3 linked regions of the Caenorhabditis elegans genome follow. The protein of the gene in region 2 purifies or fractionates together with the protein of the main gene of each other region. This does not show direct contact. Each region holds a gene or a part of one and is shown on either strand. Other genes may lie near its edges.

Evidence for each region. The genes of interacting proteins can lie anywhere in the genome.
Region 1: the proteins of hpo-30 (region 2) and wve-1 purify together in Caenorhabditis elegans (co-purification; one study listed by BioGRID). This does not show direct contact.
Region 3: the proteins of hpo-30 (region 2) and Y57G11C.1147 purify together in Caenorhabditis elegans (co-purification; one study listed by BioGRID). This does not show direct contact.

The regions. Positions count from the first base shown.
Region 1 is NC_003279.8:11,924,041-11,931,106, reverse strand, and holds wve-1 (Wiskott-Aldrich syndrome protein family member), read left to right. Parts: upstream 1-1,590; 5' UTR 1,591-1,599; coding exon 1,600-1,736; intron 1,737-1,785; coding exon 1,786-2,389; intron 2,390-3,659; coding exon 3,660-3,986; intron 3,987-5,323; coding exon 5,324-5,401; intron 5,402-5,571; coding exon 5,572-5,832; 3' UTR 5,833-6,566; downstream 6,567-7,066. Other genes in the region: R06C1.4 (RRM domain-containing protein), read right to left, coding at 273-300.
Region 2 is NC_003283.11:12,308,176-12,312,443, reverse strand, and holds hpo-30 (Clc-like protein), read left to right. Parts: upstream 1-2,087; 5' UTR 2,088-2,101; coding exon 2,102-2,203; intron 2,204-2,255; coding exon 2,256-2,367; intron 2,368-2,411; coding exon 2,412-2,519; intron 2,520-2,934; coding exon 2,935-3,200; intron 3,201-3,256; coding exon 3,257-3,414; intron 3,415-3,501; coding exon 3,502-3,595; 3' UTR 3,596-3,719; downstream 3,720-4,268. Other genes in the region: srg-45 (Serpentine receptor class gamma), read right to left, coding at 3,786-3,863, 3,911-4,219.
Region 3 is NC_003282.8:14,795,942-14,799,032, forward strand, and holds Y57G11C.1147 (Protein BRICK1), read right to left. Parts: upstream 1,574-3,091; 5' UTR 1,510-1,573; coding exon 1,444-1,509; intron 1,242-1,443; coding exon 1,193-1,241; intron 1,133-1,192; coding exon 1,023-1,132; 3' UTR 1,021-1,022; coding exon of another isoform or gene 748-1,020; intron 700-747; coding exon of another isoform or gene 577-699; 3' UTR 501-576; downstream 1-500. Other genes in the region: coq-3 (Ubiquinone biosynthesis O-methyltransferase, mitochondrial), read right to left, coding at 9-239, 288-383; nuo-3 (NADH dehydrogenase [ubiquinone] 1 alpha subcomplex subunit 6), read right to left, coding at 577-699, 748-1,020; arl-8 (ADP-ribosylation factor-like protein 8B), read left to right, coding at 2,238-2,360, 2,409-2,796, 2,844-2,890.

The DNA of each region.
Region 1 (7,066 bases), on a different chromosome or scaffold from region 2:
CAGTTAGTAGACTCAGTTATACTTATACACGTGGAAGGGGACTACCTGAAATATCGGGATTTGTTGTCAAGGAACACGAATGAACCATAGAGAACGAAGGCCGATCGGAAAACGCTAACAATTATCAGAAATCGATACTTTCTGCAAGTCGAAGAAAAGTTCATCGAAGAAAAGTGTGAGAAAGTTTCAGAAGTTTTGAGAATTTTGTATCATATTCAAAATTTGTACAAATTTAAATTTAATTTTCACCACCGATTTATTACTATACTTACCGTAGACGGAGAATCCTTGGGAAGCCATGATAGATTTTTTTTTGAAGAAAAACGAGTGTGTTTCCGCGTGGAAGACAGACTAAAAATGTTCGATCGAATTTGGCAGTCCTAAAAAGATTGAGGCCAAACGCGCGGCGGGTCTCGCAGCGAACGTGCCGCACTACGGTCGATTTTGTGTAGGTTTACGGGAGGGATATTTTGGAGAAGAAATCGGCAATTGTTGGGAAAGTGAAATGCTTATTACGTAACAAATTTGACGCGAAATATACCTCGTAGCGAAAACTACAGTAATTCTTTAAATGACTACTGTACGGGCTCGGTATTCGAAATGAATTTTAGCTTCTGTGACACAACCAAGTTGGCGAAAATTGAGAATTTAGCTATATTTTGTTATTTTTCTCAGAATTAGAACAATTTCATTGATAAATAAAAAGGACCATCTCTCCGAAACCTCGCCATTTCACGATATTTTGAATATTTTGAACAGTAAATATTGAAATTTCAATCTCATTCTATTTTCGCATTTTCCTGTATCGATTTTTTGTTTTGTATATCATTTTTTAGACCGAAAAAAATTAATATTTAAATAAATATAAAACATTTCCGGAAATGAAAATATTTCCGATGAATCACAGCGAGACACTGTATGTATTCGAGAGAGTGCAGACGCTCGCTTGCGCACTTCTCGTGAGTGTTTGCTGACGCATCCCGGGTGCACCTTGGCGCATTTCTGGATTAATGATATTTTAATTGAAAAACATGAGATTTTATTGGTTTTTCCTCGTTTTTTGCAGTTTTTCCGATGAAAAAAAACATTTTCTGACAGAAATAATAATTTTGAAGCTGAAAAACTATGTATTTTATGATATTTCGTTGGAAAATTAGGTTTTATAAGTTTTTCAGTGAATTTGTGGGTTTAGCATGTAAATGAAGCAATTTTATATGTTTTCTAGCGATTTTTCCCGGTAAAGTTACCAATTTCAGCATAATTTTATTAAAAAAGTGGCTTTTCTGTTTAAAAAACTCAATTTTATAATTTTTCCAGTGCATTTTCGTGTTTACCATTAACATTAGAGTTTTTCGTGGAATTTTCCAACTAATTTCATTGATTTTGGCTGCTCGCTTTTATGAAGTTTCCAGTGAATTTTTATGTTTAACTAATTTTTTTCACGATTTTCGTGCCAATTTCCATTAAATCCATGGATTTTTACATATTATTCAGGGAAGAAAGTGATTTTTTTTCGATTTCAAGTCATCTTCTGTGAATTCTAACGCTTTCTCGCAATTTCCACCCACATAATCCCGCAATTTCTGCACATTTTCAGCAATGCCTCTAACAAAACGGGCGGTATCACCGGTAAACCTCAGCAGAGGCACAATTCCATCAACAATCCATCGTGATGAGCTTCAATGTACTGCTAATGGGACAATCGCCAATTTAGTACGACAATTGAGCTCGTTGAGGTGGGAAATTAGGTCGGAAAACTGGAATTTTATCGATTTTTTTTTGCAGTAAGCACGCTGAGAACATCTTCGGAGAGATTTATCACGACGCAATGATAATAAATCACAAATCGAACACTCTTCAACAGAGAATTGATAGATTGCACAAGAAAGTTGAAGATTTGGATTCAAATTCCGATCAAGCAACGTTGAATGAAGCGAATATGCGAAAAGCATTCAAAAGTTCAATGCTTGTAGATCAACATATTCTGGATAGAAGCACTTTACCTACAGCATTGACTGAAATATATGCAAAATGTGATCCACCGCCGGATCTTGATGCTCTAAATCCGTATAGAGACTCTGAAATCCCTGCGCTCTCTCTCTACACAAATCCCTCGTTTTTCTTCGATTTATGGAAAAAGGAGACACTAAAAGAGGTTGCCGAACGGCCCAGACGGGTAAAAAGCCCGAACGACGGGAGTAAAAGCCCGAAAAAGCGGCGGAAGCAGCCTGGACAAGGCCCTCTCGGCACGACGGCCTATAATGATATGCAGCATAGGAATCGACAGATTAGTGGATCACGGATTAATCAGCAGAATGAAGTTTTCTCGTTCCCGGAGGAATATCAGGCTCCGCAGGCTCTCGGGCTTCAGCTTAACTTTAAAAATCAGGTAGATTTTCGCGAGATTTTTCGATTTTTTGAAGAGAAAATCTCCAAACCGTTGAAAATCGGAAAAAATCGATAATTGAGCCCAAAAATTTGAAAAAAATCGAGTTTTTTGCTGAAAAAGTGAATTTTCTATTGTTTAAAAAGAAAATCAACTTTTCAACGAGATTTCAGCGCTTACACAGCTCTTGTGCTCCCCGAGCAGGCCAAAATGTTCTATTTTGGGGCAAAATTATGGGTTTCCAGTAATTTGGAGCATGAAATTTCCTAAAAATGCACTTTTTCGCCAAAAAACAAGCCAAAATCAATGAGAAAAAGTCACTTTTTCATTAAAATCTGCGAAGATTGATAAGTTTTTGGAAAAATCGCTAGAAACCCTACAAATTAACTTCAAAAAAACTATGAAATCGAATTTTTCAACGAAGTCCCAGCTTTTCCGCTTCAAATGATTTTTTACCGTTGAAAATCGGAAAAAATCGATAATTGAGCCCAAAAATTTGAAAAAAAATCGAGTTTTTTGCTGAAAAAGTGAATTTTCTATTGTTTAAAAAGAAAATCAACTTTTCAACGAGATTTCAGCGCTTACACAGCTCTTGTGCTCCCCGAGAAGGCAAAAATTCTCTATTTTGGGCCAATATTTGGGTTTTTTAGCCATTTGGGGCTTGAAATTTCATAAAAATTCACTAGAAACTTCCAAAAAGCCGAGTTTTCACCGAAAAACAAGCGAAAATCAATGAAATTAGTGGGAAATTCCTTAGAAAAAATAATTTTTCAACAGAAAAGTGCCACTTTTTCATTAAAAATATGCGAAAATTGATAATTTTTTTTTTGGAAAAATCGCTAGAAACCCTACAAATTAACTATAAAAATCCTATAAAGTCGAAAGTTTCAATGGGAACAAATAATTTTGAAGCTGAAAAGTTATGGATTCTAGAGGATTTCGTTGAAAAATTCGATTTTATAGGGTTTTTATAATTAATTTGTACGGTTTCTAGGGATTTTTCCAAAAAAACTTATCAATTTCAGCATATTTTTAGTGAAAAAGTGAAACATTTCTGTTGAAAAACGTTTTTCATTGATTTTGGCTTGTCTTTGAGGCTGAAAACTCGAGTTTTTTGGAAGTTTTCAGTGAATTTTTAAGAAATTTCATGCTCCAAATGACAAAAAAACTCTGAAAAATCGATAATTAAGCCCAAATATCCTTCTCTGGGAGTAATTTTGAAGAAAAAAACGATTTTTTCCACTGAAAATCTCCCAATTTTTGATAAATTCAGCACCCCTCCAACATGGTTGCCCCAATCGGAATGACAATGCACCATCATCCTCAACAAAATGTGCATCCGAGCCAACAACGAGGTGGTGCTCCAGCAGCAGCTCGTGGATCTCCGAATGTTAAACGTCCGACTGAAGCTCCGCCGCCAGTGAATCTGGATCACCTCCCACCACCGGATATGTCAATTTTATCGATTGATGATGATGATGATGATCTTCCACCACCACCACCACCGCTTCTCATGAATACATCAATTGTACATCAGTTACCAGCAGAAGCTCCGTCGACGATACAGTTTGTCGAGCCGAGTGCTGCTCCGCCGACTAATGTACGTTTTGGAGCTCGAGAGAATTTGGAGATTTTGGAGTAAAATCTTGGTTTTTGCGAGGAAAAAAGCTTGCGTTTTTGCTTTAAATTGTCCGTTTTCACGACGAAAAAGCTTGGAAAAGCTTGAAAAAACTAGAAAATGTGAAAAGTCTCTATTATTCTAAGTTATTATGAGCGTTTAGAAGCCTTAAGCCTTTTTCAGGCAAAATCTCGCTTTTTCGCTTTAATTTGTTCATTTGGGCCACGAAATCACGAAAAATTGGTTGAACTCTATTAGAAAGGCTTGAAACGGCTTGAAACCGTTTGGAAAAGCTTGGAAAAGCCTGACAGAGCTTGAACTAGCTTGGAAGAACTTGAAAGAGAACGATAAAGCTTGAACAAGTTTGGAAAGCCTGACAGAGCTTGAACTAGCTTGGAGAAGCTTAAAGAGCTTGAAAAAATAGTGAACAAGCTTGGAGAACCTTGAAATGGCTTGAAAACGTTTGGAAAACCCTGGAAAAGGCTTGAAAAGGCCTGCAAAAGACAGGAAAAGATTCCAAAACGCTTAAGAAAGCTTGAACAAGCTTGGAAAAGCTTGAAAGAGCAAGAAAAAGCCTGGAAAAGCTTGTAGAGCTTAAACGAACTTGTAATAGCTTGAAAAGGCTTGGAAAAGCCTGACAGAGCTTGAAATAGCTTGAATGAGCTTAACGAGCTTATAATAGTTTGAAAAAGCCTGGAAAAACCTGGAAAAGCTTGGAGGAGCTTGAACAAGCTTGACCAAGCTTGAGCAAGCCTGAAAGAGTTGGGAAAAGCCTGAAAAAGCTTGGAAACGCCTTGAAAAAGCTTGGAGGAGCTTGAACAAGCTTGACAAAGCTTGAAAAAGCCTGACTGAGCTTGAAATAGCTTCGATGAGCTTAAACAGCTTGAAACAGCTTGAAAGAGAACGATAGTGGCTTCGAAAAGCTTACAGAGCTTAAAAAAGCCTGGAAAAACTTCAAAATGCTCGTGCGAGCTTGAAACAGCTTGTAAAGCCTGAAAGAGCTTGGAAAAGGCGTCAAAAAGCTTAGACGAGCTCGAAAAAGCTTGCGAAAGCCTGGAAAAGCTAAAAAAGCCTGACTGAGCTTGAAATATCTTCGATGAGCTTAAAAAGCTTGAAACAGCTTGGAAAAGCTTGGAAATTTGTGAAAAGCTCCAAGATTTCTTGTAGTGCATAAAATTAATTTGAAGCTATATTTCTGCAATTTCCAAGCTTAAAACCCCGAATTTTTCAGTTAAAAATTTGCAATTTTTGTCCATTTTTGTGTTTCCCTCATTGTTGTCCACTTTCCGCTTCTTTCTTCAATTCTCGATCCCTTTCAGATCCCTCCACCACCTCCACCACCACCTCCAATGGTTATAAGCTCGGCTGCAGCGTCATTTGCAGCTCCGGCTCCAAAGGTAAAGGCGCTGGAACAGCAGGGCTCTATGTGTGTCTAACCCGCTGAAAATGTGTAGTTTTCCTGTGTTTTTTGGACTTTTTTGAAGCTTTTTTAGGGACAAATTTCAAGAGAAATAGCCGAATTTTCATCAAAAAATCGATTTTCTCCCACTAAAACTGAAATTTTCAGCCATCCGCGGACGGTGAAGCTGCTGGCACAAATTCCCCAGTTGCTCCAAAACAACCAGATGCTCGAAGTGATCTTTTGGCTCAAATTCAATCTGGAATAAAGCTGAAAAAAGTGCAAAGAGCCGAGGCAGAAGCCGCCGAGAATGCTGCTCTCGAGGCGAATAATGTTGCGGCGATATTGAAGAGACGAATGGATCAAGTTATGGGAAATGATGATTCAAGTAGTGAAGAAGGAGCTGATGATGATGAATGGGATGATTAATTGCTCTCTTTTGTGTCGATTTACGCAGATCTCGTGTACTCCTCGAGGAGAAGATTCTACAGATTTTGGCTAAAAATGCTTGATTTTCGCTATTTTTTCCTTGAAAATTAACATTCAAAGCGGTGATTTTTAAGCGAAAAACCCGTGAAAATAGCTCTAAATCAAGCATTATTACCCATTTTTGCATTTTTACTGATTTTTTCGGTGAAAAAAAAAACGATTTTTCGCTGAAATTCTTGATTTTCGCTATTTTTACTTGAAAATTAACATTCAAAGCGGTTATTTATGCACTTTTAAGTGAAATCTGAGTGTTTTTAAAGTTAAAAATAAAAATAATTCATTGATTTTTGCCAAAAAAAAAACCGTGAACATTGCGAAAATGGCTCAAAATCAAGTACTTTTTTTTGCTAAAATGGTTGATTTTGAGCCATTTTCGCTATTTTCACGGTTTTTTTTTGTCGGTGAAAACTTTAAAATCGCTCAAATTTCACTTAAAACGCTATAAATAACCGGTTTAAATGTTAATTTTGATAGAAAAATAGCGAAAATCAAGCATTTTTAAGCCAAAAAACTGTAAAATCTTCTCCTCGGGGACTACACGAGCTGCGTAAATCGACGCACACTTTTTCGAATTTTCTTGTGTAAATACTGCCTTGCTTTAATTTATTTATTCAAAAATTTTTAAAATTTTTTCCGCTTTCCTGTTTCAAATGAACTGATTTTTCTCATTTTTTGCCCCTCCAGAATTGTAAATTTAAATTTCCAAGTGGTCGCCTGCCCCCTCATTATTATTTCGCAATTTTATGATTCATCAGTTTTTCCAATTTTTATTCGATTTTTTTTCAATTTAAATCAATTTAAACCTTTGAAATGTAGGAAAACTTCAATTTTCGCTTAAAATTTTCAATTTTTGGTGAAAAATCGATTTTTCCGGAAAAAAAACGTGAAATTTCCAATTTGGAGCACATTTTTATGAAATTTGCATCATTTCTCTCGAATTTACGAAAATATTTAAATTTTCAGCGGAATTTGGACATATTTCCTGGAAAACTCTTGATTTTTCGCAGAAAATTGCAATTTTTCATGCAAAAATTTGTTTTCTACGCATCGGAGCTCCAAAATTCCCAAATTATTCGAAAATTCAATTTTTAGCTTTTTTTTTCTCGAAATTTCAATTGAAAATCGTGTTTTTTGGCTCATTTTAGCTCAGTTTTCAGCTGAAAAATTCGAAATT
Region 2 (4,268 bases):
CCTTCATTTCCATCATTCATTTTATTTTTTGTGTGTTTGTCTTGATGACAAATGTTCGGCAATTCATCATTTTTTTTAGTCGCTTTAAGGAAATCCAGAGTCTCCGCCTTCTCAACGAACAATTTGCGGAGAGTGCACCTACGATTTAGAATTTAGGAGATTTCATGCATTGGAAATGAGAAAAATGGGTGAATAGCATTTTCTCACCTTTTCTTAGCGGTTCTTGCATTTCAAAATGTTTCATAGAATCTGAAAATAAAAAAAGTTCATTCTCATGTCTAGCTTTTTTTTGAATGAATGAAAAAATTGTCTTCCAGTTAGTGTTACTGAAAAATATTTACTTAATGATTTTTTGATATATGCAAAATGCAACAAGATTTAAATTATTTTTTAAAAAAAGTTAAATTTTCTCAGCAACATGCCCAGAATCCTGCCGAAATTTTTCTTTCGATACCTGCAATACCTAAAAAGATAATTACATTTTTCTTCTTAGAAATGAATATACAAGCCCCCCTCATCGCCTTATCTGCATGAGAAATAAAAATACGCCCAACTAAAAAGTAATTCCACTTGTTTTTGCGTCAGGCTATATTCGTTTTTCTTAAAGTCAGTGTTTATTGATCTTCTTCAATTTGAGAAAATTAGTCTGATGACCTCTATACAAGGATATGTCAATAGAAACTGACATTTGGACTTTGCATAAAATTGAAAAAGAAGCGGCGGGAAGAGATGAAAACAAACTTTAATTCGATGAGACGTTTTCTGAGTTTTCGAGGAAAAAGGTTCCAACATCCTCTACACCTTTCAAATATTCCAAATTATATTTGAACTAGGTGGACACTTTAATTGTAGTTATATTTTCGTTTCCAACATCATTCACTTAAATCCGCTCTTTGAACATTTATTTCTCAATTTCTTCTCCGTGGGAATTTCAAGTGCTTTGGTTTTTTTGTAAATGCCATAAACTCATAGCTAATCCAAAATTGTATTTTATATATGTGTTTTGAGTGTGCTTTGAATAATTCGACCATATGTCAAGTGTTCGTTTTCCTTCCCTCTTCCGGAAATGTTGCCAAAATTTCGAAACTGGACATCTTCTTGTCTATCAAAAATCGAGATACAATCTTGAGTGGCTCTGTTGGGTTTCGTAATTTTCAAATTTGTTGATTTTTCACGAAAAGCGACTTATTTGGGTTTGTTATGTAATTTCATTGCGTTAATTCATAAAAATTTGAGTTTTATTTTTCTGATGATTGCATTGGTTCTGTTTTTCTCACTTTGGCTGGTTCATAGAAATCTATAAAAATGAAACTCAGAACATGTAGAAAAGTAGGCTACGCTTGTAATGTACTCCTATGGTCAACATCTTTCTTTCAACACCTAATAAATCTTTTGCACACATTCTCAGCTGTTCCAGGCCCTAAGGGAACTCAAGACGTGCAATTTCCAAGTTGCTCTCTTCCATACCAAAATGTCTCGTCTAGTTTTTTTTTTCATCATTTGTTCTACTTACATCTTGACTGTCAGTAATTTTGGGCATTTTCTAATTCTCATTCATTTGTTTTTTTTACTTTCTTTGAGTTCCAATTAAGAAACGAGATAGAATAGAAACGAGACAATGAAAAGAAAAAAGTTCGTTTAAAATTCTATTTTGTTCTGAATAACTTCCATGACTTCAGTCAAGGACAATAGCTTGTTTTGAAGGCATTTGAGATTTCTGGACACTTGCGCAATATAACTAAACAGATACGAAGCAATAGTTGAATTCATTTACGTGTCTACACACCTGGTTTATTATGTTTTTGCTGCTTTTGTTTTCTTTTATAGCAGAAGAAAGTTTTCTCCTCAAACTTCAGAGTTTTCACAATTCTCATTAAACATCCTTAAAAGTATTCCGATATTTTCTCACCCTGCAAAAGCAAAAAGATAATCCAATACCCTTCTCTCACTCCATTTCTACGTATTCTTCCGTTCATTCCTCCAATTCAAGTGCCCACTTGATCTTCCTTGAAATTCGAGACTCACGACTTCTCCTTTTAACTAGCACTTTTAACACGTTTCCACATTCTTCTAGTTTAAGATTTTTCAGAGTAACCACGGAATGCCATTAATTATGTACAAATTTCTATTAGTCACTTCAATATTCTTAATCGTTTCCGGGCTAATATTAACTGCGTTCTCGTTGTTTAGTCCTCTTTGGGAAGTAAGTTTCTAGTCAATAAAATTCTGGTTTTTTTTAAATGTCAATTTTGTAGGTAGTTGATTTTCCTCGTTCTCATTTATCACATCATCACGGTCTTTGGTGGGATTGTATTGTACATCATGAAACTTTAATTCCGTTACATGAAGATCAAGCAGAACTTCGAGGTACCTTTTTTCTGCTTTTGTTTTCTAAATAAAACAAGTTTAAGGTGATCGATGTGATAGTAAGATGGATTCTTCGGTTCAAGCATCATTAAGAGTTGCTCTTGAAAAAGGAGATGAAGAGGCCAGAGAGCTTTTGTTACATCGGTTTCTACGTAAGTTAACAATATTTTAATGCTTTTCATGTGCCGAAACTTACTTTTTTCTTTGTTAGAAAGATAAACTAGAAACTATATAAAACTGATTTACCAAATGCAGGTTCAAGTTATTTTTTAAAATAATTAGAGTGTGAGCGTAGTAGTTCAATAATTTGTTGATCAATTTTCTCTTTCTGGATACAGAAGCGTATTGGCATTGCAACGTACATACACATGTTTGGTTCCATGCTATTAATTCAATTGATTTTCTGTCTTAAATTCTAGGACTGTAATGCTATTTTTTGTAATTTAGTATTTTCTGATCTAGAATATGCGGTAACAATAAATTAGATTTTACTGTCCAAACACAAAATTACTGAAGATACAAGTTGATTTTATATTCTTCATGAAACCAAAAAAAAATTAATTTCAGCTCATCACAAAGGTGTAATTTTCTTCGCAGTTTTCACTTTTGTTTTCGGACTAATCTCCATCCTGATTGGCTCCTGTTCTCCATGTTTTCCACCAAATGCACTACTTTATGTAGTTGGTGTCTTTATGACCGGAGCATGTTCTTTATTAGCAGATATTATCTACATATTTGCTTTTAATCAGAAACCAATTTTTACAAAAGAACAATCTGAGCCACACCAAGAAGTTTTATCGAGAAGAGAACGAGGATCCATTGGACCCATTTATGTAAAAATTCGAAAAAAAATTGATGTCATCTTTTTATTTTTTTTTTCAAATTCCAGAAGCGTCTTGGCATTGCAACGTACATGCATATGTTTGGTTCCATGCTATTAATTGCTGCATTCATCTTTTCAATTTTTTGTGCCTACTTCCTCATCACTTCAAAACATGCACACGACGTTTGTTGCACAAGTCGAAAAGAGTACAGAGAGCAGACAAAGTAAGTTTAATCTGATTTGCGGATTTTTCTAAACATGTAACTTTCGTCTAATAAAACAACTTTCAAGAGTAAAATAAAGGTTTTCAGATGGAAAAACAATGGGCTAATTCTAAAAACTGGAAGAGTAAATCATCAATCACATCGGCCATTTGTAGTGATTGACGATGACAGCAGTATGTGAACTGATATGCTCTCAATTTAAAAATTCTGTGATTTGATCTCTTTATTTTGAAATACGGGTTTTTAACAATTTGATCTTAATAATGAATGTAAATAATGTTCAATTAATAAATGTAAAACAAGAAGTTTCAAAATCAAATTGGAATTTTAAAAATAATTTGTGTCTTTCCATACACTCGCATTTTCATAACTTAGTTTGTCAAAGATCGTACTTGGAGAATCGTTGCTTTAGGTTTTATACCAAACAATATCAAAATTTCTTTTCTCATCTGAAAATCAGGATATAACATTCTTGAGACTATATTTCAACCCTCACAGTTTTACTAAAACAAATCAACAGCCAAGGTTGCACCAAAGATAAACCGTCACTAACAAATGGTAGAACCATTGTAAGATATGATAACATAGAACAATAGTTGCACTTCAATAAAGCAATAGAAATTATTGTTCCAATAAGTTGGACTAAACATGTTATAGACATTATGAGTAAAAAGTTTGTTTCCGCTTTTTTTCTTTGAATATTCAGATTTCGTAAAAATATGACACTTGTAGTATTGGAAAGAATTGAAATTGCCATACAAATGCACATAAATGGAATTAATACATTGTAAATTTCTATGAATGGCTGAAACCTCAATCAAGTTATTTATTTATTTATTTTTATTTTTTTTTGT
Region 3 (3,091 bases), on a different chromosome or scaffold from region 2:
TCCCTTACAGCTTGCTTCGTCGCATCAATTCCTGTAACATCGAATCCACTTCTGGCCAGTGGAATCGACAAAAGACCCCCTCCGCTTCCAACGTCCACTAATCGAGGAGGAGCCTTCTGATCGCTTTTTCTAACATTATCGACAATCCAAGGAACTCGAATCCTGTTTAATGAGTGAAGTGCGTGGAAGGGACCCAGTTCATCAGCCCATTCTGCAGACAAGTCTCCGAATTTTTCGACCTAAAATAATTTTTCTACAGATAAATAGCTTATTTTTATATGTTTTACCTCTTTTACATCAATAGAAGATACTGAAGCGGCTGAAGTAGTCGAGTGTAGTCGTTGTAGCTTTGCGATGATTCTGGCACTTCGTGAAGGGATCATCTACCAGGAAAAATAAAATTCAATCAAAATAAACAAAAAAAATCGAAAAAGAAATAAAATTAGGTCGTAGAACCTGCCAAATCAATTTTTAAGTCAAAAAATCAGATTTTATTCCTTCTAGTATCAGCCGATTCGATTTAAAATACGAGAATTTACTTTACAATTACACATAAAACACTGAAAAATAAAAAATCTATTCCTTTCCGTTGAGGAATTTGGAGAGGAAGTCCTTTGGCTTGGCTTCGACATTTTCAGCGAACAGGTAGTTGCGCACGTGATCCGGGTTGTAGAATGCGTAACGGATCGATTTCATGTGCTGAAAGTGACAATTAGAGTTTAGAAAATTTAAATTTTATTCAAAAACCTGATGAGTTTCTCCGACAAGTCTGTCAACGACACGAACATCGGTGAGATGTCCGTTCTTTGTGAATTGCTTCTTGATGACAGCACGGAACACGCCGAGCGGCATATCATGAAGTCCGAAATCCCACCAGAACTTTGGAGTGAGACGTTGGAACTCCTTATAAGCGGCGAGAACCGACATGCGTGCCTCGGCGGAATTGTTGGATTTGATTGGAGCGACGGTGCGAACGGCGTGTTGTCCGGCACGGACGACTCTTCCGGCAGTTGCAGACATTATTACGAAAGAGTATCTCCTTTGGTGACACGGGCTTCAAGAAATTCGACCTTTCGTTCCAAAAGGTTAAGCTTGTCGCTGAGAGTCGCTAGTTTTGTGCGGCAAGAGAGCTCTGGAAGAAATCAGATATTTTTTAAAGGAATTAATTTAAAATAATAATTTTTCTACAAACCAAAGCTGGACAAGAAGTTAGCGATGTTCTTGATGTTATCGGCAATAATCTGAAAGTTAGTACGGGTTAGTGTGGGAGATATGAATTCACACATGAATATTTGTTGTAAAATTGTATAAAATCACAACCTACTGAAGTGAAAAGCTATTTCAACACCGCAGTTAAAAATATTCAAAAATTTCAACAACCATTTTTAATCAATTTTCATTCACATTTCAATCGATTTCCATCATTTTTTTCCGTCTACTAACCTGCTCAAACTCGCGATTATCCCAGTCGTCCTTTAGTTGTTGTTGAACGGCTTCCGAAGCGTGCATTCAACGCTGAAAAGCTGAAAAACGGTGAAGGATGGTCGCCGGTGTGCCGCGTGCTGCGTAAATCGACACACTCGATCGCGGCGAAACCCGTCCTCGAAACTGCGTGCGCCTTTGATGTCAGCGGTCGTTCGATTGGCTCCTTGTCGCACTGATTTGGCTTTGGATTTCGTAATTTTCGACGGATTTTCGGGATTTTCTATCGATTTTTTGAGAATTTTCAAGGAAATAGACTGATTATTCATTAGTTTTTTCAAAAATTCCATACATTCATTGAGAATGGGTTAGACAAACGTAAATTCAGATTTTAGAAAATCGAGCAAACTGAGCAAAAAACTGTGTCCGCTTGAGAAATTTGTAAAAATTAAGACTATATTCACTGAAAACTCTTATTGCAATCCGATATTATCCAATGAAACTATCTGCTTTTAGCAATTCTATTGTTTTGAAACGTTTCTCTCAAAATTTTATAGACATCACGTGTTTTGTTGACTATTCTCGATGATTCATTGGTTTTGATTTCGTGAAAGTTACTGCAAAATAAATTTTGCGATAAGGAAAATCAATATTTCTACTTGTTTTTTTTTCAACAGCAAAAGCGAGCTTGCTCCAAAATTAATAGCGGTTTTCCGTTAAACCCTTCTGTTTTTCTTTGTGCTCTCTCACACACACACCCTTTTCAATCGAATTGCACTTTTCAGGAATTTCCTCATTCAACATCAATATTCAAGATGTTGGCTATGGTGAATAAGGTTCTCGACTGGATTCGCAGTCTTTTTTGGAAAGAGGAGATGGAGTTGACACTTGTTGGGCTCCAAAACTCTGGAAAAACGACATTTGTCAATGTTATTGCTGTTAGTTTTTCTGGAAAATAAATTTAAATTCAATGTTCTTCACTTTAGAGCGGCCAATTCACAGAAGATATGATCCCAACAGTCGGATTCAATATGCGGAAGATCACCAAAGGCAACGTGACGATCAAATTATGGGATATCGGGGGCCAGCCACGGTTCCGCTCGATGTGGGAACGATATTGCCGCGGTGTCAACGCCATCGTCTTCATGGTGGACGCTGCCGACGAGGAGAAGCTCGAAGCATCCAGAAATGAGCTTATGCAGCTGTTGGACAAGCCACAGCTCGACGCTATTCCAGTTTTGGTGCTCGGAAACAAGAAGGATTTGCCTGGAGCACTTGATGAGCGGCAATTGATCGAAAGAATGAATCTGTCATCAATCCAGAATCGCGAGATTTGCTGCTATTCTATTTCATGCAAAGAGAAGGAGAATATTGGTAATTTTTTAAATCTTTGAACCATTCTAAACTGAATTGTTTTCCAGATATCACCCTCCAATGGCTCATCGATCACTCGAAAGCTCAACGCTAAACTAGGCACAATCCACGACTCAATCTACTCGAAAATTTACAATTCACACCGCAAAATATATTAAATCAAACCTTTTTTTTTTGAAAATTCTGTAGATATTATTTATTTGAATCCCCTCCCCTCCATATTCAACTAATCTCTCTCGTCTTTTTCATCACAATTGTAGTCAATTTCCCCAACCCATTCGCTCCCAGTTTTATT